6 linked regions of the Oryctolagus cuniculus genome follow. The protein of the gene in region 1 purifies or fractionates together with the protein of each later gene. This does not show direct contact. Links are inferred from orthologs where the notes say so. Each region holds a gene or a part of one and is shown in the gene's direction. Other genes may lie near its edges. The genes, in order: MAD2L1, ANAPC7, ANAPC4, CDC27, ANAPC1 and KIF20A.

Evidence for each region.
Region 2: the proteins of MAD2L1 (region 1) and ANAPC7 purify together in Homo sapiens (affinity purification with mass spectrometry; 3 studies listed by BioGRID and IntAct, with this or other methods). This does not show direct contact. The link is inferred for Oryctolagus cuniculus from reciprocal best matches to the Homo sapiens genes MAD2L1 and ANAPC7.
Region 3: the proteins of MAD2L1 (region 1) and ANAPC4 purify together in Homo sapiens (affinity purification with western blotting; 14 studies listed by BioGRID and IntAct, with this or other methods). This does not show direct contact. The link is inferred for Oryctolagus cuniculus from reciprocal best matches to the Homo sapiens genes MAD2L1 and ANAPC4.
Region 4: the proteins of MAD2L1 (region 1) and CDC27 purify together in Homo sapiens (affinity purification with western blotting; 29 studies listed by BioGRID and IntAct, with this or other methods). This does not show direct contact. The link is inferred for Oryctolagus cuniculus from reciprocal best matches to the Homo sapiens genes MAD2L1 and CDC27.
Region 5: the proteins of MAD2L1 (region 1) and ANAPC1 purify together in Homo sapiens (affinity purification with mass spectrometry; 3 studies listed by BioGRID and IntAct, with this or other methods). This does not show direct contact. The link is inferred for Oryctolagus cuniculus from reciprocal best matches to the Homo sapiens genes MAD2L1 and ANAPC1.
Region 6: the proteins of MAD2L1 (region 1) and KIF20A purify together in Homo sapiens (affinity purification with mass spectrometry; 4 studies listed by BioGRID and IntAct, with this or other methods). This does not show direct contact. The link is inferred for Oryctolagus cuniculus from reciprocal best matches to the Homo sapiens genes MAD2L1 and KIF20A.

The regions. Positions count from the first base shown.
Region 1 is NC_091439.1:45,314,113-45,318,276, forward strand, and holds the start of MAD2L1 (mitotic spindle assembly checkpoint protein MAD2A), read left to right. Parts: upstream 1-1,364; 5' UTR 1,365-1,847; coding exon 1,848-1,920; intron 1,921-2,942; coding exon 2,943-3,089; intron 3,090-4,164. UniProt on the Homo sapiens protein: Component of the spindle-assembly checkpoint that prevents the onset of anaphase until all chromosomes are properly aligned at the metaphase plate.
Region 2 is NC_091452.1:8,080,090-8,083,589, reverse strand, and holds part of ANAPC7 (anaphase-promoting complex subunit 7), read left to right. Parts: intron 1-1,535; coding exon 1,536-1,722; intron 1,723-3,500. UniProt on the Homo sapiens protein: Component of the anaphase promoting complex/cyclosome (APC/C), a cell cycle-regulated E3 ubiquitin ligase that controls progression through mitosis and the G1 phase of the cell cycle.
Region 3 is NC_091433.1:20,493,248-20,496,747, forward strand, and holds part of ANAPC4 (anaphase-promoting complex subunit 4), read left to right. Parts: coding exon 1-120; intron 121-1,901; coding exon 1,902-1,976; intron 1,977-2,117; coding exon 2,118-2,144; intron 2,145-2,229; coding exon 2,230-2,274; intron 2,275-3,172; coding exon 3,173-3,257; intron 3,258-3,500. UniProt on the Homo sapiens protein: Component of the anaphase promoting complex/cyclosome (APC/C), a cell cycle-regulated E3 ubiquitin ligase that controls progression through mitosis and the G1 phase of the cell cycle.
Region 4 is NC_091448.1:16,996,662-17,000,161, forward strand, and holds part of CDC27 (cell division cycle protein 27 homolog), read left to right. Parts: intron 1-2,853; coding exon 2,854-3,006; intron 3,007-3,500. UniProt on the Homo sapiens protein: Component of the anaphase promoting complex/cyclosome (APC/C), a cell cycle-regulated E3 ubiquitin ligase that controls progression through mitosis and the G1 phase of the cell cycle.
Region 5 is NC_091433.1:113,096,715-113,100,214, reverse strand, and holds part of ANAPC1 (anaphase-promoting complex subunit 1), read left to right. Parts: intron 1-527; coding exon 528-673; intron 674-857; coding exon 858-1,078; intron 1,079-1,789; coding exon 1,790-1,999; intron 2,000-3,500. UniProt on the Homo sapiens protein: Component of the anaphase promoting complex/cyclosome (APC/C), a cell cycle-regulated E3 ubiquitin ligase that controls progression through mitosis and the G1 phase of the cell cycle.
Region 6 is NC_091437.1:25,991,818-25,996,091, forward strand, and holds the start of KIF20A (kinesin-like protein KIF20A), read left to right. Parts: upstream 1-1,474; 5' UTR 1,475-1,697; intron 1,698-2,120; 5' UTR 2,121-2,142; coding exon 2,143-2,307; intron 2,308-4,091; coding exon 4,092-4,178; intron 4,179-4,274. Other genes in the region: BRD8 (bromodomain-containing protein 8), read right to left, coding at 1,107-1,125. UniProt on the Homo sapiens protein: Mitotic kinesin required for chromosome passenger complex (CPC)-mediated cytokinesis. Following phosphorylation by PLK1, involved in recruitment of PLK1 to the central spindle. Interacts with guanosine triphosphate (GTP)-bound forms of RAB6A and RAB6B.

The DNA.
Region 1 (4,164 bases):
TAACTTCCAAACTATGTTATTACAAGACCCAAGAAATTCTTTCCTGAATGCTGTTTTAACATGGAGTTTCTTAGAAAGAGAGGCAAATTTTATACAGAGAAAGGTGGACACCACACTATTAGTCTGATGGCAAATTCTAGTCCTACTTTTAAGCTCCCAGTAGAAGGGATGAAGAACATCCAAGTTTCTTTCTCCTTACCCTCACATCACCTATTGTCCCTAATATCAAAGATTGCAGTTTCTACACATACACACAATAAAGGATATAAGGAAAATATTTCACTGGGTTATATTAGCCTATTACCGATTATGTTCATTTTTAAACTTCAAATGGTTAAAAATCTGATACATAACACTAATAGAATGCTAAGATGGAGGCCCAAATTCCAAGCCCCTGAAGGGATACATCCAATATAATCCCTTTGCCTTGAGTTTGGGCAGAACCTAAAACTATAAGGGGAATATCACTTCTGGGATTAGGTTAATCAAAAGGGAGGTGACCTGACCTACTCAGGTGAGCTCTCCCAAAGATCAAGGGTCTCCTGAAAATCAGAGACTGGAAATGGGAAAAGACATGTGACAAACATGCAAGACAACACACGGGGACCTCACTCCAACAACGGCGAGCAATGTAGTTCTGCCAGCCAACAACCAGGGAGTTTGGGAGGGGACCCCAAACAGCAAATGAGACCACATTTGCAGACCTTTGATTTTAGCCTTGTGTGACATCGAACCTACGTCATGCTCAGTACCTACATAACTGAGATAACAATTGGTGTTTTTTTTTATTTAAGCCACCAATTTATGGTACTCTGTTCCGAAGCAATAGAAAACACACACACTCAAGCATTTCTCATATACTTAAATAACAGTATGCATATGTCTGGCAGATAGGAGAGTTTTTCAGACTTCATTTTACATTTCAGACTTGATCTCCCTAGATGCTTTAAGAATCCTTTCACAATGGACATCAATGCTACTTGTGCACTACCTCCTTAACACTTCTCATCCTATTGAATTTGCGAATGAAAATTCAGTGAGTTAATTCTTCAGTGTCGATGGGCCTCTTCTGTGAGGTTTAGGCCAGCCCCCTAAAGATGGATAGAAAGGACAGAACCTGGAGGAGGTCTCAACCGCCCCTCACCCCCACCCCCACAAACACACACCCTGGTCTGTGACGGAAGGCCATACTTCCAGACAGATTTGGCAGGGGACAGAAAAGCAAGATGCGGTTTGTCGCTTTAATCTCTAACTCCGTCTCTCCGGAAAAGCCGCGTTCCCACAAAGACACCAGGCCTGCCTAAACTACTTGGCAGCTGCATACTTTGTTCCTTTAAAAATCCCCCAAGCGTGCACTGCGGGTTGCTTCAGGTGCAGCGGCCAGGCGGCTCACAACAGTTTGACAGTTATCTCTCAAATTTAGGAAGTGCGCCTCTCTTGGTCACTAAAGCCACAGGTCTATGAAGCGACCATTTAAACGCAGACCTTCCACCTTCTTTGCGCGGCCAAACAAGTACCTGGGCGACCACGCCAGAGAATATCTCCCAACACCACATCAGAGCGTAGAAACTTGGAACCTGGCGACCAAGTTCACCAACTGCGCCTGCGCAAAGCGGCCTTGTCGTTCTCCTTGCCCCCCCCCCCCCCGCAGCGAAGTCGGGGAGGCGAGAGAGGAAGGGCAGGGCCCCGCCGCGAGGGGCGGGGCTTAGAGGCTCGTCGCGTTTACGCAAAGGGCGCGACTGCGTGCTGCGTCGTTACATTTGAAACTGGTGGCGGGGAACTGCTGTGGACCGCCGCCGTCTGGGTCTGCGGAGCGGAAGCGCGCGTTGGCGTCCGTGGGTCTGGCCATGGCGCGACAGCTAGCCCGGGAGCAGGGTATCACCCTGCGCGGGAGCGCTGAAATTGTGGCCGAGTTCTTCTGTGAGTCTTCCTGGCGCTCGGCGGAGGGTGGGGATACCTGAGGCCTGGCGGCGCGGGAGGCCTACGGCTCGGCCTCGCGGACCCCTGAAGCCTTGGCCGCTGCAGGCCTTCTGCTGCCCGGGAGGAGTGTGGGGAGAGGAGATGCGGACGCTTGTGCGGTCTCTATGCTGATGCTACAGGGGGAGGCCTAGGTGCCCCTGAGGCCTGCCTCCGGGCCTAGCCTCTAACGGAGCGAAATGCTTCTTTAATATGTTGATGCCTCCCCCCATTCTCCCCCCATATTTCACCACCCACCCCGCCCTCCTCCTAGAGGCTTGGGACACCAAATGAGCGCGTGTGTTTCCACCTAGACTCCACCCTCAGCCCAGGTGTGGGAGCTGTACTTCCTCAAAGAACAGTGAGGAGGAAAAAGAGGGAGAGGCTAGCCGGACGCAGTGGACCAGAAACTCATTCACGTGTTTTCTGGGTCGCAAAAGTCTAGTTTGGCGTCTTCTGAACACATAATCTGAACTTGGGCTTGCCTTACAATACGGTAAAATTGGGAAGTGGTAGGTTAAGGCAGTTTGGCATTTTTCTTTTGTTTAGTTGTCTCTTGGTAACAAGATTTTAAGGATTTTTAAAAATACTTATTTTTTTGAATGGCCTGGACCAAGCTGAAGCCTGGAGCCTGAAACTCCGTCCTAGTTTCCCACAGCTAGCAAGGACCCAGGCATTTGGGTCATTTTTTACTGCCTTCCCAGGGCACATTCTCAGAAAGAAGGCTGGGAAGTAGAACAGGACTTGGACTAGCACTCTAGTATGGGATGTCCTGCGTCACAGGCACTGAGTTAACCTGCACCATAAGGCAGACCTGAATTAAAGGATGTTGATGGCACTCTGATTACTTTGGTTTCCACGAGATATAATAAATGTGTGTAACCATTTTCAGTTTTTTAAGAGTAATGAAACTAGTCACATTTAAACATACTTTATTTTCCATTGGTACAAAAGGACAATGACTTACATGTTTGTTTTGCTTTCAGCATTTGGCATCAACAGCATTTTGTATCAGCGTGGCATATATCCATCTGAAACCTTTACTCGAGTGCAGAAGTATGGACTCACCTTGCTTGTAACTACTGATCCTGAGCTTATCAAATACCTAAATAATGTGGTGGAACAACTAAAAGGTATTTAATCATTGGAAAAAATTCCAGTGTTGCAGGCATTCCTAGAGCTACATTTTCTATCATGCTAAATGGCCTTTTTCAGCTTCCTATATCAAAGTATTAATTTTTTAAAAAAAACAACCATCTCAAATATAGTGATTCTCAATTGGGAGGAAGCAAATAATAGTGATTGAAGTAGATTGGTAGAAACCCTATCCACCCCCCTCCCCACACACACACACTACATTTTAAGTGGGCTGGATATTTTACTTTCAGAAACCTTACACAGCCTTAACAAAACAGTTAGCATCAAATCCCTTTGAAATAGCTTTTGCAGGTAATGTGGCCAGGGGAACAACATGGAATTTTGCATGATCCCAATGGCATTCATTATCTATTTAAGAAAATGTACGGTATATGTTCTTATATGGTATGTTGGTTTTCTGTAACTGGCGTCTATAAAGTTGTTAGATTAAGATCAAGGAAAATAAAAATGAATGCAACTAGGGAAGTAAACTTCAAAAATAGAAAAAAGAATAATTACTCAATAGATATCCAGTAGAGTTTTCTTATTTTTCAACCACTTCCATTTGTTAGAAAAATTCACAAATTTTTCTGTGTGAACACTTGCTTTAGCTCAAGAAATTGTATTCCTTGTTGGATCAAAACTTGATCTCCATTTGTTTGGTTTTTTACCTACTTCGGGAACTCTTATTAGTTTCTCTGCCTAGGGTTTTTATTTCTAATTTTCTATGTTGTAGTGTGTTTCTCTCAATTTGGCTTCCCATGTTATTTCCAAAGAGTGCTACAGTAACTAAATATTTTTTTTGAGGGGAAGGGAATTTTTAAATTCAGAAATCCTTTTTTTCTCAAATTTTTTAGTTCAATTATAGCTTCATGCTTTATAATTTTCATTGTATTTTCATGAACTTTGTTTTTAAAGTGCCCTGTTGATGGGCATCTGAATTTTGTTACCATGTTATCTCTCTTTCAAGCTACATTATCCCCTAGATAATATGTAAATATTTAACTGCCATTCATATATACAATATTAAAATCCTTCAATACTTATAGAGGTTAATTGGATGTATTCTCT
Region 2 (3,500 bases), on another chromosome or scaffold:
TACGCCACAGTGCCAGCTTCTGTCTCTTATATTTTAAATTTTCTTATTGAATAGTGGTGCAGAGGATTAAGATGTTGCTTGGGATGTCTGCAGTCCCATTTAGGAGTGTTGGTTCCAGTCCTGCCTGTTCTGCTTCCTGTCTAGCTTCATGCTAGTGCATCAGAGAGCAGCGGATGGGTGATGGCCCAAGTGCTTGGGTTCCTGCCACCCATGTGGGAGACCCGAATGGAGTTCCAGGCTGCTGGCTTCAGCATGGCCCAGCCCTGGCTGTTGAGCATTTGGGGAATGAACCAGTGGTTCCAAGATCTAGCTCTGCTTTTAGATTTATTTCTTCATTTAAAAGTCAGAGTTACAGAGAGAGAAGGTAGAGACAGAGGTCCTCCATCCCATGGTTCACTCCCCAAATGAATGCAGTGGCCAAGACTAGTCCAGGTGGGTAGCAGGGCCTAAGCACTCTGGCGATCTGCTGCTTTCCCATGTGCATTAGGGAGCGGGATCAGATGTGGAGTAGTCAGGACTCCCATGCAAATGGCATGCCAGTGTTGCAGGCGGTGTCACAACATTGGCCTCTTCAGTATTTAAAGAGTTTTCCAGTTCTTTTTTGAACTCTTTGTTCAGCTCCTTCCTAAAAAGGAGTCAAAGTGGTGAGATTTCTTTTTTTCAGGTCTTTGCCGCATCTTTAGTAATGCTAGTTAAGTCGTCATTGGCCTAAAAACTTGATGTTAATTAACACTATATAGATGAAGGTATATCTGTATTTCAAACTGTTACATTAAGAGTGTTTAGAATAAACATATATATATATATATAATTGGATTTGATTTATAGGTATCATTTCTTTATATTAAGTAAAGGGAAATCATTAAGGAAAAATCTTATTAAAACAGAACAACCTAGGCACAGTGTTGTGGTGTAGCAGGTTAAGCCACAGCCTACGACACCAGCATTCTATGTGGGTGCCAGTTTGAGTCCCAGCTGCTCCACTTCTGCTCCCTGCTAATGCGCCTGGGAAAGCAGTGGAAGTTGGCTCAAGTATTTGACTCCCTGCAACCTACATGTGAGATCCAGATGAAGTTCCTGGCTTTGGCCTGGCCCAGCCCAGGCCATTGCAGCCATTCGGGAGGTCAACCAGCAGATGGAAGATCACTATGTCACTCTGCCTTTCAAATAAAAGAAATAAAATCTTTTTTAAAACCCCAAGAAACAAAACAACTTGAGGTACTATTTTAGATGTGTTGACCATTATTGGCATAAGATTCAACTTCTTAAACCTCTCACTTAAGGGCCATTTGGGGAGTAAATCAGCATATGGAATATCTGTCTGTCATTCTGCCTTTGAGTAGATGAATAAATATTAAAAAAATTCACATTTTTAGTTATCTGTATAAAATGGAGAAACAATGTATTAGAAGTATTTTTACTTTATTTAAACTGCGGTTGTACAAGACTTTGTACTAGACTAATGTGGATACTAAGATGTTCTTCCTGTATTGCAAAATAACCCACGTTGGGGGTGTACTCTCTCTGTTTTCTAGGGAGTTGTTCTCCCCGTCTCAGAAGTACCAGCTCTTGGTGTATCATGCTGACTCTCTGTTTCACGATAAGGAATACCGGAATGCTGTCAGTAAGTATACCATGGCTTTACAGCAAAAGAAAGCCCTTAGTAAAACTTCAAAAGTGAGACCTTCAACTGGAAATTCTGCGTCTACTCCACAAAGTCAGGTAATTGGAGATGGAATTGTGTTTGGTTTTGGTTTTGGTTTTTTGAGAGAGGGACTGAAGGGATTTAGAAGATAGATGGTTAGTTAGATGTAAAAGGTGGTCAGATAGGAAGTAACTTTAAAGGGGAGATGACTGGAGAAAGGTGAAAAATCCATGTGGATGTGCGAATGTGTCCAACTAAGTATTAAAGGCTAAGAGTAGGCTGGTGCCGCAGCTCACTAGGCTAATCCTCCGCTTGGGGCGCCGGTTCTGTCCCGGTCGCTCCTCTTCCAGTCCAGCTCTCTGCTGTGGCCCCGGGAAGGCATGGAGGATGGCCCAAGTGCTTGGGCCCTGCACCCCATGGGAGATCAGGAAGAAGCACCTGGCTCCTGCCTTCGGATCGGCGAAGTGTGCCTGCTGTAGCAGCCATTTGGGGGTGAACCAACGGAAGGATGACCTTTCTCTCTCTCTCTCTCTAATTCTGCCTGTCCAAAAAAAAAAAAAAGGCTAAGAGCAATGAGACTAAAAATTAAACATGAATTATCTAGAGTTATCTAGACTGACAGTCATACATTGTTTCTCCATTTTATACAGATAAAAAATGTGAAGTTTTTTTTTTTTTTTTTTTTATATTTGTTCATCTACTCAAAGGCAGAATGACAGAGACAGATACTCCATATGCTGCTTGACTCCCCACATGCCCACAGCACCTGGGCCTGGGCCAGACCTGCACGCCATCCAGGTTTCCCATGTGAGTGGCAGAGGTCCAAGCACTTGAGATGTCATCTGCTACCTCCCAGGATGCTTTAGCAGAAACTGGGTGAAACAGAGGGGCCAGGACTGGAACCAGCACTCCAGTGTGGGATGCAGTGTCCCAAGCAGTGGCTTAACGTGCTGTACCACAGGGCCTGCCCAGTATTTATAACTAATGGAAATACAACACAGAATGCTTTTCAGTTAGATTTGTGAGTATCTGGGGAAACTTGTGGTAAATAATCAATTCCTGGCAATTTTGACTGCTTAATAATTAGTTAAGTAAAGAAGGCATAAAATTGTAATGTCCTCATCACTTGCTAGAAATTAACCCTAATGGGGGCTGGTATTGTGGTGCGGAGAGTTAAGCTGTTGCCTGCAGCACCAGTACCCTATATGGACAAGTTCAAGTCCCAACTGCTTCCAATCCAGCTCTCTACTAATGCACCTGGGAAAGCAGTGGAAGGTGGCCCAAGTCCTTGGGCACCTGCACCCACATGGGAGACCTAGATGAAATTCCTGGCTCCTGGCTTCTACCTGTCCTAACCCTGGCCAATGCAGCATTGCAACCGTTTGGAACCATTGGATAGAATACCTCTTTCTATGTGTCTCCTCTCTGTATGTGTAACTCTGCCTTTCAAATAAATAAATAAATCTTTAAAAAAAAATCAACCCTAATAAGCTCACAGTTTTGAAGATATAAAACTAAAACTGCTCATTGCAGTGTTTTATAATAGTAAGAAACTGGAGGGATGGGAATTTGGTGCAGTGGTTAAGATACAGCTCAGGATGACTCCTGCATAGCATATCAGAGTTTGAATCCTAGGTTCAAATCCCAACTCCACTTCCAATTCATTTACTTAACTCCAATTCCAGCTTCCTGCTCATGCACACCCTAGGAGGCAGCAGGCATTGGGTGGCTCAAGTGCTTGGACTGCTGCCACCCACGTGGGAAACCTGGATGGAGTTCTGATTCCTGGCTTCAGCCTGGACTGGCCCCAGCTGTTGTGGTCATTTGGGGGGTGACCAGCAAATGGAATATATCT
Region 3 (3,500 bases), on another chromosome or scaffold:
TCTTGCTGACACCAAGAAAGTTGTTTTGTGTGATGTAGAGAAACCTGAGAGCTTGCACTCTTTTTCTGTGGAGGCTCCTGTTTCTTGCATGCATTGGATGGAAGTGACTGTGGAAAGCAGGTAGAGTACCCAGAAGGGAACAACTCTGGAAGGGAGGGTAGGCTGTTCATGAAATTGCCATTTTTTAAAGTGGAGACTTAGTGGTATTTTGAGTATGTGTATGCCTCATTTAAATTTTGGCTGTAAGCTTGTAAGATGGAATATTTTAATTTTTTTCTTTTGAAAAATTTTCTTATTGGAGCAATAATGCCTGGCGGGCCAGAATTTTTCTCTGCATGTTGGCAGTGTATGTCAATGGTGTATACTTTCAAGTGATATTAGTTAATTACGGACCAGCACAGTGAGAGTCTGCTCACTGTTTAATTCGTCTGGAGCTCTGTTTTTGTGTCTTAGTAAATATCCTTAGACTATGAAAAGTCTGAAATGGAGCATTCTGTTCTGATGCTGGATTCTTTTCTGTGTCCTGGTCCTGATAGTTTCCTTGTTTCATGAAAACAGTGTTGACCTAGTCTGTGTAGTCAAGTAATATACCGGGTGTGCAGTGAACGTGGCCTAAGGAGTCTCTGGGTTTGCCTAATACTGGTAAAAACAGATTTCAAGGGGGAGGGTGTGATCCAGGAGTCCCCGTTTCCACAGGGCATGAGTTGCACGACCCCTACTGGATAACCGACATGGTGGGTAGTACTGAACCCTGTATACACTGTGGTCCTTCTATGCAGATGTACCGGTGGTGAAGTTAAATTTGTAAAGAGCAGAACGACAGAAACTAATTGGAAGATGGAGCGTTTATAACAGTATGCTGTGTTAAAATTTCTATGAACGTCTTCTTCCTCTTACCGTCTCTATCAAAATATCTTTCTGTACTCACCCTCGTTGAACTTGGGTGACTGAAACCAAGGAGCAGGAAAGTGCAGAGAAGGGGAGACTGATGTCATGTGATTTTCTTCCCGTTAGCTTTTCCTTTCTAATTAAGTCCACTGAGTTAATATCAAATGAATTTGTAAATCTTGAACATCATTTTTAATTGGTGAAAAGATCGGAAGTGGATGAAAAGGATCTAGCCTGGGGTTCCACATTCCCTGTAGATAAACCAGAGTGATTAATCCATTATCAAATAATCAAGGAGTGCAAATGGCCATATGAACTTCTACAAGGTTGGAGGAGCAGTCTCCATGCTGTTCCTGTCACAGCCCAGTCACTTGCTGTGTATTCCCAGCATACTTTCTGCTGGTAGTTTAAAAATTATGTGGGATTACAGGATCTCAGGACAGCTACTTTGGGGAAAAAGTGGGAAAAAATATTTACTGAATCACTACCTTTTCACCTGCTCACTTATTTCTAATCTTATTTAAGGTAGAATTAAAAAATAAAAAGGGATAAGTAAGACAATTTAAAAATATGTGATATGTGACATACCTGCAGGTTTGTCAAATCCCAAGTGTGTGTAAGCTGTAGAACCAATAATTAAATGATACAGTAATCACAACATTCCTTAAAATTACTCTGAGTATTTAACATGTTCAGTGTAGGTTCTTAAGTAAAGCTGACAAATTATAAATTCTCAATCAGTCTCTGAATACTGAATATATTTCAGACACTGAGAAAATTATTCATTCATGTAAATATAAAGTGGGTGGGCATTTTTTTCTTGCAAAATTTAAAAGAAACTTTCTAATTATATTTTTCATTTGAGATTGTTACACTGACTCTCACAATGGTGAAATAGTTGCAGCATTTGTTTAGTTGGTAATGTTATAAAACTGAGCATCTTTTTAAAAACTTCACTTTTTTAATGGAAAGAGAAGTAAAATCTTTGGTGTTTTTCTACTACCTTTTTTTAGTGTTCTGACATCTTTTTATAATGCTGAAGATGAGTCAAATCTTCTGTTACCTAAACTGCCTACATTGCCAAAAAAGTAAGTATCACAGTTTTATTTTTTTTGGAATTAGCCTTGCAGATTTCACTTCCTTCTACTTTCAACACTATGATCAGTTTTCTCGTGTGTTTTTAAACTTTTTATCACGAGTATTTTTATCCCATCTCTGTTTTCTTCTAGCTACAGCAACACCTCAAAAATATTTAGGTAAGATGTGCCTTATTTTCATGTATGATAATCTCTTGTCGTTTGAAACAATTGAAAGATGACCCAATTTATTTTTATATTTTAGTGAAGAAAATTCCGATGAAATTATTAAGCTCTTGGGAGATGTCAGGTAGGTCTCATAGAGATCTTAACTAAATCTGGCTTCTTAAAGTTGCTACTTCATAGTTGAGGCAGTTTGCCAAAGTCCAGCCTTTCTTTGTCCTGTTTTTCTTGTCGTTGACGTAACACCTCCGTACCATACACATACATTAATATTTATTATTTTTATTGTGTGGGCTTTCATTTTGTCAGACTTCAGTACCATTCAAGTGTGCCTTTGTTTATAATTTTTTTTTTTTATTTGACAGGTAGAGTTATAGACATTGGGAGAGACAGAGAGAAAGGTCTTCCTTCTGTTGGTTCACTCCCCAAATGGCCACTACAGCCGGTGCTATGCTGATCCAAAACCAGGAGCCAGGTGCTTCCTCCTGGTCTCCCATGTAGGTGCAGGGGCCCAAGCACTTGGGCCATCCTCCACTTCCCTCCCTGGTCACAGCAGAGAGCTAGACTGGAAGAGGGGCAGCCGGGACTAGAACCCGGAGCCCATATGGGATGCCGGTGCTGCAGGTGGAGGATTAACCTAGTGAGCCACAGCGCCGGCCTCAAGTGTGCCTTTGTTTATTAACAAGCAAAAGAGGATTGAAATTTCTAAAATTTTAATTTAAGAATATAAGTTTCCTTTAATCCCATTTAGTGTAGTTAGCATGATAGCCGTGATAAAGCTGTAGAACTTTGTATTACCTGGAAAAATAGTTGTTTTGTCATCGAGAGTGTAATTGTTAGTATCATGTATTCTTAGTTTACCGTAAGCGGATTTGTGTTGGAGTTGAGGAACTCTGGGTTTGAGTGGTGGTGCGTTTGTGCGTGTCCCACTGCAGGGGAGATGACAGCGCAGAGTTTCTGTCTTGGTTTAAGACACGGTCATCTCTGCTCAGTGCGCCTCACCTCACTGTACTATTTCTACTTAGGCTTAATATTCTTGTCCTTGGAGGAAGCTCTGGCTTTATTGAACTGTATGCTTATGGCATGTTCAAGATCGCCCGAGTCACTGGGGTAAGTTTGTCTTTACCATTGTCTCCATCGTTTCTGGTAGCTAATTCGTTTATGGTTTTCTTTGGCTTCAGCCCGTGGGACTGTTCGTTCTTGAATGTTCAGAGGCTAGTTCTCTTACTGAGATACAGCAGTAGTGCTAGGATGTCTGTAGAGACCAGGGGCTGTTGGTGGAATTTGTTTCTCTTTAACAAAGACATGGGATAATGCACTTGGTTATGATGGAGCGTCCTTCCTGCTGTGCGA
Region 4 (3,500 bases), on another chromosome or scaffold:
CCACAGCAGAGAGCTGGCCTGGAAGAGGGGCAACCGGGACAGAATCCGGCGCCCCGACCGGGACTAGAACCCCGGGGTGCCGGCACCGCAAGGTGGAGGATTAGCCTATTAAGCCACGGCGCCGGCCAAGGTTTTTATCTTTTTAATATTAATATGTTCTTTATGTTTTTATACCAAAAAAGTTAAGTTGAGTAACCTAAAGGCAAAGAAAATTCTAATTTCAAATTTTTTCATCTTCTTAAAAAATTCTTTTCGGGGCCGGTGATGTGGCAAAGCAAGTAGAGCCCCCGCCTGCTGTGCCAGCATCCCATATGGGCTCCAGTTCGAGTCCCAGCTGTTCCACTTCCAATCCAGCTCTATGCCGTGGCCTGGGAAAACAGTAAAAGATGGCCCAAGTGCTTGGGCCTCTGTACCTGTGTGGGAAAAAGCTTCTGGCTCCTGGCTTCAGCTCTGGGAGTTGAGGCCATCTAGGGAGTGAACTAGCAAATGGAAGACCTCTCTCTGCTTACCGTTCTCTGTCTGTGTAACTCTTTCAAATAATTAAATAAATAAATCTTTAAAAAAATTTTATGGGTTTAATTGAAAGGCAGAGAGAAGCTGACAGGGATCATCTGTCTGCTGGTTCAGTCTTGAAATGCCTGTAAAAGCCACCACTTGGGATGCCTTTATAGCATATGGAAGTGCCTGGTTCTAGTCCTGGGTCCTTCGCACTTCCCATCCAGCTCCCTGCTAATGTGCCTGGAAGTCTGCAGGTGATGGCTGGAGTACTTGAGTCCCAGGCGTATGGGCCTTGAGGCCAGACCTTGGGCCAGAGACCTAGATGGATTTTGACACTCCTGGCTTTGGCCTGGCCTAATCCTGGTTATTGGGGGCATTTGGGAAGTGAACTAGTAGATGAAATATCTCTCTCTGTTATTCTGCCTTTCAAATAAATAAATAAATTTTTCTTTTTTAAAGAAAGCCAAAACATTAAAGAAATATATTAACAAAATTAATTATTATTTAAAAGTGACAAAGTTACATTTTTGCTCTGTTTATTTTCATATATTCTATATTTGTTTTAGTGCATTTTATATCTTAGACTCTTTTCTAGACCTAAACTAAGGAGACAGTTTCTTGCCTCTGTGGAGCATACATCTTAGGAAGAGACATTGTAAGCCAAGGAATGTATTAGGACAGGTAACAACAAGCCATGAAGGAAAATGAAGCATAGTAAGGAAACTGAGAGATGGTGGAATATGTTGTGATTTAAAAAAAAAAAAAAAAAAAAAAAGAGAGCTCCAGAAAGGAAAGTTATACCTCCTTTCTTGAACCATGCAAAGATTTAAGGGAGAAGTCCTCCTCCAGCCAGAGGATATTGTATAACACATTAAAGAGGATTGTAGGCAGGAAACCTTAAACTTTGCTTCTGCTAGAATCATGTTTGGTACATACAGTATTCACGTAGGCAAAAACTGGAAAGCCCCTTTCAAAATTATTTCTAATTTGTTGTTTCACAAGTTTTTTTATTATATAAACTTTATTGTTCTCCCTAATTTTAGAGTGGTAACTCAGACTTAACTAAAGTTTGAGCTTAGATTGATGTGTCTTCCCCCCCCCCCTTTTTTTTTTTTTAGTCAGTTACAGAGAGAGATCTTCCATCTACTGGCTTATTCCCCAGGTGGCCACAAAGGCCAGAAGTGGACCAGGTCAAAGCCAGGAGCTTCATCCAGGTCTCCCACATGGGTGACAGGGGCCCAAACATTTGGGCCATCTTCTGCTGCTTTCCCATGTCATTAGTAGGGAGCTGGACCAGAAGCAGACCAACCAGGACTCGAACCAGCAGCCATATGGAATGCTGGCGTCACAGGCAGTGGCTTTACTCAGTATGCCACAACACTGACCCTGCAGTAGTTTCTAAAGCATTTGAAACCAACAGGTTCCTGTATTTGACTGGTGGTTGAATTTGTCTTCTCATAACCAATGCCTATTTGAAAAACTTACCTTTATAACTTTCATGATATTTTTAGGGATATTACAAATCATCAAGTTCACAGTTTTATAAGTGCTCTTTTCTTATTTCATCTCATTCATCATTTCATTAAGAACGGCACAGATATTGCTTATTCTGAACTAAATTTGGAGAGTTTTGAATTTACTAACTTGATAGATTTGATAGATTAGAAAACTAATCTATCAAGTTTAGGTTTTATATAACCTAAAACCTCAAACTTCAGGATGAGAGAAGCACAGTTCTGGAAGCTGTGAATATGATGAGGAGAAAAATAGGAGCTGACACTGAGGAGAGGTGCCGAGATGCCCACCTAGCTGCAGAGCAAGGCTAATTGGAATTGGTAGGTGGGGGCGCCAGCTGCGGCTGTGGCAGCGTTGTGGATGTGTTCAGTGCTGCTCACGCCACAGGATTGTGAGCCTCTTTCCTCTCAATAAAAGACAGTGCAAAAAGCACATTCTGTGTTGTACAGTTCATTCTTCCCATCATCTTTCCTGAGAGAATTATTCTATAAAACCATTAGTAAAACTGGAAAAGTGTTTTTTAAGAGCAAAATATTAATTTGTCTTTATTAAATTATGACTTTATGTAAATTTTCTGTGGTTTGGTAGAAACTCAAATTTTCTTTTCAGAGCTCATGTTCTTTGTATGAGTTGTGTATCAAAAGCAGGTTACATATAAGTAGGATTGGTTATGTCAATATTGACCTTCCACAGGAAGTCGCTCAGTGTGTTCTTGTGTTATTACTAATCCACATAAAAGGCACCATTTAGAGCCTGTGAAGACTGAGCAGTACTCTCCCTGTAGACATGTCAACTGGATCTGCTTGTTTCCCCTTCCCCTTACTAGTTTTTGTATTTCAGGCTGAAAGAATATTCTCAGAGGTTAGAAGAATTGAGAATTACAGAGTTGAAGGCATGGAGATCTACTCTACGACACTTTGGCATCTTCAAAAAGATGTTGCTCTTTCAGTTCTTTCAAAAGACTTAACAGACATGGATAAAAATTCACCAGAGGTAAGACAGCCAAAACACTTTGTTTACATAGTTACCTTAATCACCCTTATCAGATGGAGATAAACCAAATAGTTTAAACACTGTTTAGTATCACTCACCCTTATTTTTCTCTGTCCAGGCTGAGAAGCAGACAAGAAATATATGGTACCTAGAATATATGGTACAGATTCACAAATAGAAAAATCACAGAACAGATCAATCATTCAGGATTAATCAAGATTTGACTGTCTTAAAATTGCTGTTGTCTGAACGGCGCCACGGCTCACTAGGCTAATCCTCCGCCTTGCGGCGCCAGCACACCGGGTTCTAATCCCGGTCGGGGCACCGGATTCTGTCCCGGTTGCCCCTCTTCCAGGCCAGCTCTCTGCTGTGTCCAGGGAGTGCAGTGGAGGATGGCCCAAGTGCTTGGGCCCTGCACCCCATGGGAGACCAGGAGAAGCACCTGGCTCCTGCCTGCGGATCAGCGCGGTGCGCAGGCCGCGGCGGCCATTAGA
Region 5 (3,500 bases), on another chromosome or scaffold:
AGTAAGGCAATGGAAACTAATCCATCAAACAGTAGAAGTAAAAGCTGAACTCAGTATGAAAACACTTTGCACATGTTGATGGTAAAGCAGAAACAGTAGTGTATTGTTCAGTACTGTTTGAACAGTTGTTACAGAGGACAGATTTCATACAGAAGAAAAGGACCCCTAAGGAAGTTAAACTTGGCAGATAGTTGGTTACAGTTTATACATAGGTTGGGTGTTGAAAGAGTCATGGACCTCTTACCTGTGGCTGCTGAATTTGATGAGGCATCAGAGGAAATCTTTAGAGTGTACTTGCATGTATTTGAAAGTGAAGCTTGTAATGCTCTCATCTTTAATATATTTTAAGGAAGATATACAAAGTAAATTTTTAAAAATTCAGTTAATCATGTGGGATAATGATGTCCTTTGTGCTTTGTTTGGCTTGGTTTCTTTTTATCTTGTGGAATTTTAAGAACTCGGTTCATAAAGATGGGTCTTGTGAAGCCCATTGTTGTGTATCTGATTGTTTCTGTTTTATTTTTAAGGTCTTTTTGGTTCGACACGGGTGCATTATGTTGTAGATCCAGCAATGAAAATTGTTTTCCTTAACATTGACCCCTCCATCGTAATGACCTATGACTCTGTTCAGAATGTGCATTCTGTGTGGACTCTCCGGAGAGTCAAGCCAGAGGTAAGGATAAAGGCACACAACAGGGCCGTGAATCCTGAACACCTTCCGGTGTTTTTGGAAGAATCGAAATAGATTGACCTTTTTAGGGAAAACAGATATCACATCTACCTTGCATTCTCACAAGGAAATTGCCCTTTTGTTCTAATTATTATCTTTGTGTTTACTTCTCTTCATTTGACTTAAGGAAGAGAATGCTGTTTTAAAGTTCTCTGAGCAGGGGGGAACCCCACAGAACGCGGCCACCAGCAGCTCCCTCACAGCACATCTCAGAAGCCTCTCCAAAGGAGATTCTCCCGTGGCTTCCCCTTTCCAGAATTACTCCTCCATTCACAGCCAGAGCCGTTCAGCCTCATCACCCAGCCTGCATTCCCGCTCACCTTCGATTTCCAACATGGCAGCTCTCAGGTGGAAGTGTTTCCTTGTTTTAAATAAGACAGCCCAAGGAAAAGATGACCTTTGCAAGCTTTGTCTTACATCTTGAAGGATTTAGAATTTAGAAGTTAGACTGCTCCTGGGTGTTTTTTTTTTAGGGAAAATAGCCATTATCCTATTTGTGTTACTTTAGCTAAGACTTCCAAGTTGGCTATGTCACTTTTCTTTGCTGAGTCCTATTTAGAAGTTGCCTATGCTTGTCCTAAGATTGGTTGCTTCATTTCTATTGATGAATATTAATTCTAAAAATATTTAGATATTCTTTTCTTTTCTTAATTTATATTAGTTTTTCTTTTGTTTTTGTTAACTATATGTATCTCTGGTAATATATTTGTATATTAATTGAGTTGTAAGTGCGATAGGGACATAATTTTTTGGTGGGTATATCATTATACAGGAATACAGATTAAACCTTTTTAAATAATAAAAGTAATTTTTGAGGAAGAAAGTGAACTAATTCTTAGTTTTAATTTAATTCTTCTTTTAAGAAGAATTCTAAATGTATAGAATACTGTGAAGTATGCCAATATGAACCATTTAAATAGTTCTTCCTTTAAAAACGTTTTAGGATTTTCTGACTGGGATTGTGCCATGAATATTCTGTGTGTAGAATTTTCAGAAGGTATGTTACCTAAGGCGGCATTGCTAAGTGTCACACACTGTTCTCCTCTGTTTATTTTGCAGTCGTGCCCATTCTCCTGCCTTAGGAGTGCATTCTTTTTCAGGAGTGCAAAGGTTCAATGTTTCAAGCCATAATCAGTCTCCAAAGAGACACAGTATTTCTCATTCTCCAACCAGCAATTCCAATGGCTCCTTTCTTGCACCAGAAACAGAGCCAATTGTTCCTGAGCTGTGTATTGACCATTTGTGGACAGAAACGATCACTAATATAAGGTTTGGAGCATATATTTTTATATTCAAAGAAAAATGTGCTAGAAGAAAATATTTGGTGTTTTGCTGAAAGCTTTATTATAATATAATATGTGTTAATACCCCTGAGAATATATAGAGCTATGTATTAAGGCCACTTTGGTTTCAGTGAGGATGTTAATGATATTAAAGTGATCATAGAAATACTGTTTTGCCACTTGATGTTTCTTCCTTATTTAGTAATATTAAGCTATCAGATTTGAGGTGTTTGATGTTTAGAGGATAAACTAATTTTTGCAAGATTAGGAAATTTAGGTTTTTATAGCATTTTTAAAATTTTGGAGGTAAAAAGAGTCAGAGCTTCTGCAGTGAGGCAAAGCAAGAGAGGTCAGATAATTGTAGAGCAAACAAGAGAGAACATTCCAAGAAGGAGGAGGTGCCAGGATTGCCTGGTGCTGGTCAAGTGTTCAGAGAGGAGTTTAAACAGAGTTTATCTCAGAGAAGAGGTACTGGGGTGCAGTGAGTTTGCTGTAGGATGGCTGAGTCCATGTCTCCAGTGCAGGAAGAAATTTAAGGACAAGGCACAGGCAAGGTGCAGCAGAATAAGATACAGTGAAAGTATAGGATTTATTTGCAAAGTGAAAATACACAATCAAGAGGGAATCCAGCAGGTGTTGGGATTACCCCTTTTCTGTGATCTTGAGAGGGTAAAAGAATTGAAAATTTATAGATGATGATGTTTGGAGTAGGGTTTGAGTACCACCTTTTATTTTTTTTCTCTCTCTCTTTCATTTATTTGAAGAGGGGGTAGAGAAAGAGAGATCTTCCAACTGCTGGTTCACTGGCCTCACTGGCTGGGCCTGCGGCTGCTCCAGGTCCAGGTCCAGGTCCAGGTCCAGGTCCAGGTCCAGGCCAAAGCCAGAAGTTCCAAGCTCTGATATGGGATTCTGGCATTGTAGGTGGCAGCTTACCTTGCTATGCCACAATGCCAGCTCCAACACCTTCCATTTTTTTTTCCTTTTTACAAAGTCCCAGAAGTGTCATAATGTTTCTTGGGAGTAGGAATGTCAGCAATGGTAATTTTATTATAATGTTGTTATAATTAGCTGTGTGGGTTGATGTGGGGACATAGTCAGCAGCCATGTTGGATATTTTCAGCCTGCAGTGTAAGGTGGAGGTTGGAGAGTGAGAGGTTTGGGTGGAGGAGGTGTGGTGATAGGGGTGGGCTGGTGACTTTGGGTCTCTTTGTTAGTTACTTCTTGGTGGTGGTGGTGAAGCAGGCTAGAACAAGGAGATAAAGACTAAGAAGTGAGTATAGGAGGCAAATGGACTGTTTACCATCCCCCCCAAAAAAACCTTTTATTTAGTGAGCACAAATATTATAAGTACAACTTTAGGAATATAGTGATTCTTCCTACCATACCCGCCCTCCCACCCCCACTCCCACTCTACCTCCTCCTCCCTCTCCCATCCCCAATCCCGTTCTCCATTAAGATTCGTTTTCAATTAACTTTATACACAGAAG
Region 6 (4,274 bases), on another chromosome or scaffold:
ATGGCACCTACTGTATTCTTTACACTGGCATTATAGCATTATATTTTTTCAAATGCCATAGCTCAAGCTCAGATTAAAAAAAAAAAAAAAAAAAAGGCAGGGAATGGGGAGAGAATGCCAGATTAAGACGAACCAGTTGGGGTCGGTGCTGTGGCATAGTGGGTAAAGCCGCCGCCTGCAGTGCCGGCATCCCATAAGGGCGCCGATTCGAGACCCGGCGGCTCCACTTCCAATCCAGCTCTCTGCTGTGGCCTGGAAAAACAGCAGAAGATGGCCCAAGTCCTTGGGCCCCTGCAGCCACAAGGGAGACCTGGAGGAAGCTCCCGGCTCCTGACTTGGGATCAGCGCCGCTCTGGCGTTGAGGCCAATTGGGGCGTGAACCAGTGGATGAAGACCCCTCTCTCCCTCTCTCTCTCTCTCTGCCTCTCCTCTCTCTGTGTAACTCTGGTTTTCAAGTAAAAATAAATAAATCTAAAAAAAAAAAAAAAAAAAGGTGAATCAGGCTGTCACTAGAATACAAGGATTCCAATTTGAACGGAAGGGCTTATTTCCCAGGATTCCGAGCGGCCGCCGGCCCCGCCTCCCTCTTAGCATAAACTTGTTTACTCCCAACGGCCCCTTCCCCCCAACCGTCGGGCCTGAAGGTCCTCTCCTACCCCAAACACGGAAATGGCTGAAACGCACGAAACGCAACTTCCCCACGGACAGAAAAAAGCCCACGGCTCAAATACGCACTTCCACTGCCTCGCAACGTTGGTCCGAGAATGACTGGCTCTTTGAAATGCCTGCCACTCCCACAGAGCTCGCGACAACTCTTCATCAGCAACCCCAGGTTTCCAAGCTGCCTTTACCTCTGACCCTACACAGCTCATAACACAAAAATTCACGGAGCTGTTTTTCTCGTCCTTCTCCCTCCCTGAGGTGAAAGACCGTAAACTCTGGGGCCCTCCGACGCTTATCTTCACGACACGGCCTAGCCCAAATCCCTGAGGACTCCGGGCTCCCCGCCAAACCACTCTTTCGATTTCCTAGCCGTGCGACAGAAATGTGGTGTTTAACCCCGGCTCCCCAACGGCCTCCCAAACAAAAGCAGCCCCGATACTCACTGCCCGTCCCCGTCGCCATCTTGGCTCCGAAGTCTAGCTCCTGAGGAGAGGCAGTCCGACTCGGCCGATCTCCGGGAACTCTGGGAAATAGAGTACGGGCGTTGCTTCGCGGTGCCTCCTGGGAAATGTAGTTTTCTCTCCGAAGACGTAGCGAACGCTCTGAACCAGCGGTCTTGTGCGTTCCGGGAAAGGGCTGTTACCACATAAAAGACAAAATGGCGACTAAAACTTCACCACTTCTTTTAGGCCTCTTGGGAACGAAATGTCTAGACTTCAAGGAAAAGAGTCAGGAATCCCAGGTGAGACACCTGAGAGCCCGCAACGGTTGGTAACCCGGACCCACATTGCAGTTGAGAGGTCACGCTCAAGTAAACGGTCTCCCAGTCGTCCCCGCCTCCTTCCCTTACGCTGATTGGTAGCTACAGGCTTCGCCAGCTGATTGGCCGAGCGAACGCAGCGCGTAGTTTAAAACATTGTATCGGGAACAAAGCTGCACCTCGTGGGTGGAGTTTTACTCTCAGGCAGCCGACGAAGTGATTCGGAACGAGACGTAAGCTGGTACCGCAGAAGGAGCGAGTGTCACGGCCTCGGGTGAGTGTGCGGACGGGCTGCACGCAGCGTTACCAGCTCTTGCCCGCGAGGAGTAGGCGTCCGGAAAGCGGAACTGGAGACGCCTCGTCTCGGTGGGCGTTGGGGTGCAGTCGGTGGAGCCTGCGATCCTCCCAGCCCCGGCGAGCCAGGCTCCCTCCTCGGAGCGTGGCCTTCCGCTTTTGCAACCTGATAGCCCAGGATTAACGTTCGCCTTCGAAAATGCCGCCTTAGGCTGGATTAACTTTCAATCCTCATCGCCTTTCCCTCTGCAGATAAGATACTGGGGCTGGGGCAGTGGGTGGGGAAGGGCGTAGCAATTCTGGCAGCCGGGCCAGGTGTCTTGGGACTGGGCCTTTTTTTTTTTAACCTGGTTTGAAGCCTCTTCGTCCCAAGTCCTTGCTTCACTTTCTTGTCTCCTTTCAGACCTCGGCTGCCCCCTGCTGTCATGTCGCATGGGATCCTTTCTCCGCCCACGGGCTTTCTGTCAGATGAGGAGGTGGGCGTCTCCCCCATGTTTGAGTCCACAGCTGCAGATCTGGGGTCTGTGGTTCGCAAGGAACTGCTGTCGGACTGCTCCGTCATTTCCGCCTCTCTAGAGGACAAGCCACAGGTAAAGGACTAGGGGGAGTGGCTCGGGCGGCGGAAGGCCTTAGCCACAGTTGTCCACGCAAGGTAGAAGTTCTGAGATAGCAATTCAGAATTAAGGGTATGACAAGCAAAAACCCCGTAGAATATGTGGCCTCAAGTTCCTGCTCATGGTTAGCTCCAAGGGAGAGAGCAGTTCCTTCTCTTCACCACGAGGCCCAGTTAAGTGTTGGATAATTTGCACAAGTTCGTCCTGGTGTTAAGTGCAATGGCTTAGCAACATCAACCATTTGTTTAGCTTTCCGCTAGGCCAAGGTTTCTCAGCCACAGCATTATTTGACATTTGGGGCCATAGTCTTTCTTGTGGGGGTTGGCCTTTGTATGGTAAGGTGTTTAACAGCATTCTTGGCCTCTGTCCACTGGATGTCAGTAGTAACTTCCCTATTCTGATGACCAAAAAGTCTAGAGATCACTAAATGCCCCTTGTAGCTGGGAGAAGTGGAGAAATGGCCCTGGTTGAGAGCCACTTTACTAGGCCCAATGCTGAATGTGTTTGTGTGGTTTTTTTTATAAGATTTATTTATTTATTTATTTGAAAGGCAGAGGCAGAGAGAGGTATCCATCCACTAGTCTACTCCCCAGATGGCCACAAGGGCCGGAGCTGAGCTGTTCTGAAGCCAGAAGCCAGGAACTTCTTCTGGGTCCCCGACACGGGTGCAGGGGCCCAAGGACTTGGGCCATCTTCTGCTTTCCCAGGCCATAGCAGAAAGCTAGATCGGAAGTGGAGCGGCGGGTCTTGAACCAGTGTCCATATGGGATGTTCACACTGGAGATGACAGCTTTACCCAGTATGCCACAGCACCAGCCCCTGCTAAATGTTAACATGCTTTGTTATATTGTCTTTTTTTTCTTATCTTTTTTTTTTTTTTTAAGATTTGTTTATTTATTTGAGAGATAAAGTTACAGAGAGAAAGAGATAGAGATCTTACATCTGCTGATTCACTCCCCAAATGGCTGTAATAGCTGGAGCTGGGCTGATCTGGAGCCAGGAGCCAGAAGCTTCTTCTGGGACTCCCAGGGCCTATGCCTGAGGGCCATCTTCTGCTGCTTTCCCAGGCCATAGCAGAGAGCTGGATCAGAAGAGGAGCGGCCGGGATAGGAACAGACCGGCACTCATGGGATGCAGGCGCTGCAGGCATCTGCACTGCATGCCACAGTGACAACTCCTGTCCTTTCTTAGAGTTTTTCTTAGGAACTTAAAGTTCCATCAGAATCGAGTCCTTGACAGTGTCCCTCATGGACTACCAGAACCTGTTGGAGTTTGGGCCATAGTGGGCACTTTGAATGTCTGTTGAATGCTTGAACTGGGTGCTATTAACTCCATTCTACAGATGAGGAAACTGAGGCAAAACATTTTAAAAGCTTGTTCAAGGCTTCATAGTTACTAAATGATGGAATTGGAACTCAAATTCAATTGCGTCTGCCTTGCAGCCTCCCAGCAGCTTAATGACTTGATATCCAATAGTATCACATACAGATTTTCATACCAATCAACCACTTCTAACTCAGATAATTGGTATGGCAAACTAGGTTTGGAGGATACTGATAAGACAGAAAAGGGTGAGAAAGTAGTAAAAAAAGAAAAGTGTGTGTAGGTTGGAATGATTGTGGAACCAAGACTAGCTGCACAGACATTTGGAATGGAATGGGGTGATGTCAGTGTGATTCCTAGGAACTGTGCTGTTTGCCATTTGCTCAGAGGGGGCTGCTGAGATTAATCCATGGTTCCGGATTGGAATTCTGCCACAGGTTCCACCAGACAGTGCAGAGAAGGTGAAAGTTTACCTGAGGGTCAGGCCCTTGTTACCTTCAGAGTTGGAACGACAAGAGGATCAGGTGAGTGAGGAGGGAGTAATTTAAATGGAATCATGTAGTAGAGAAGAGGTTCCCAGGAATGTTTTCCTGTGTGACAACTATTTTCCTCCATCAAAG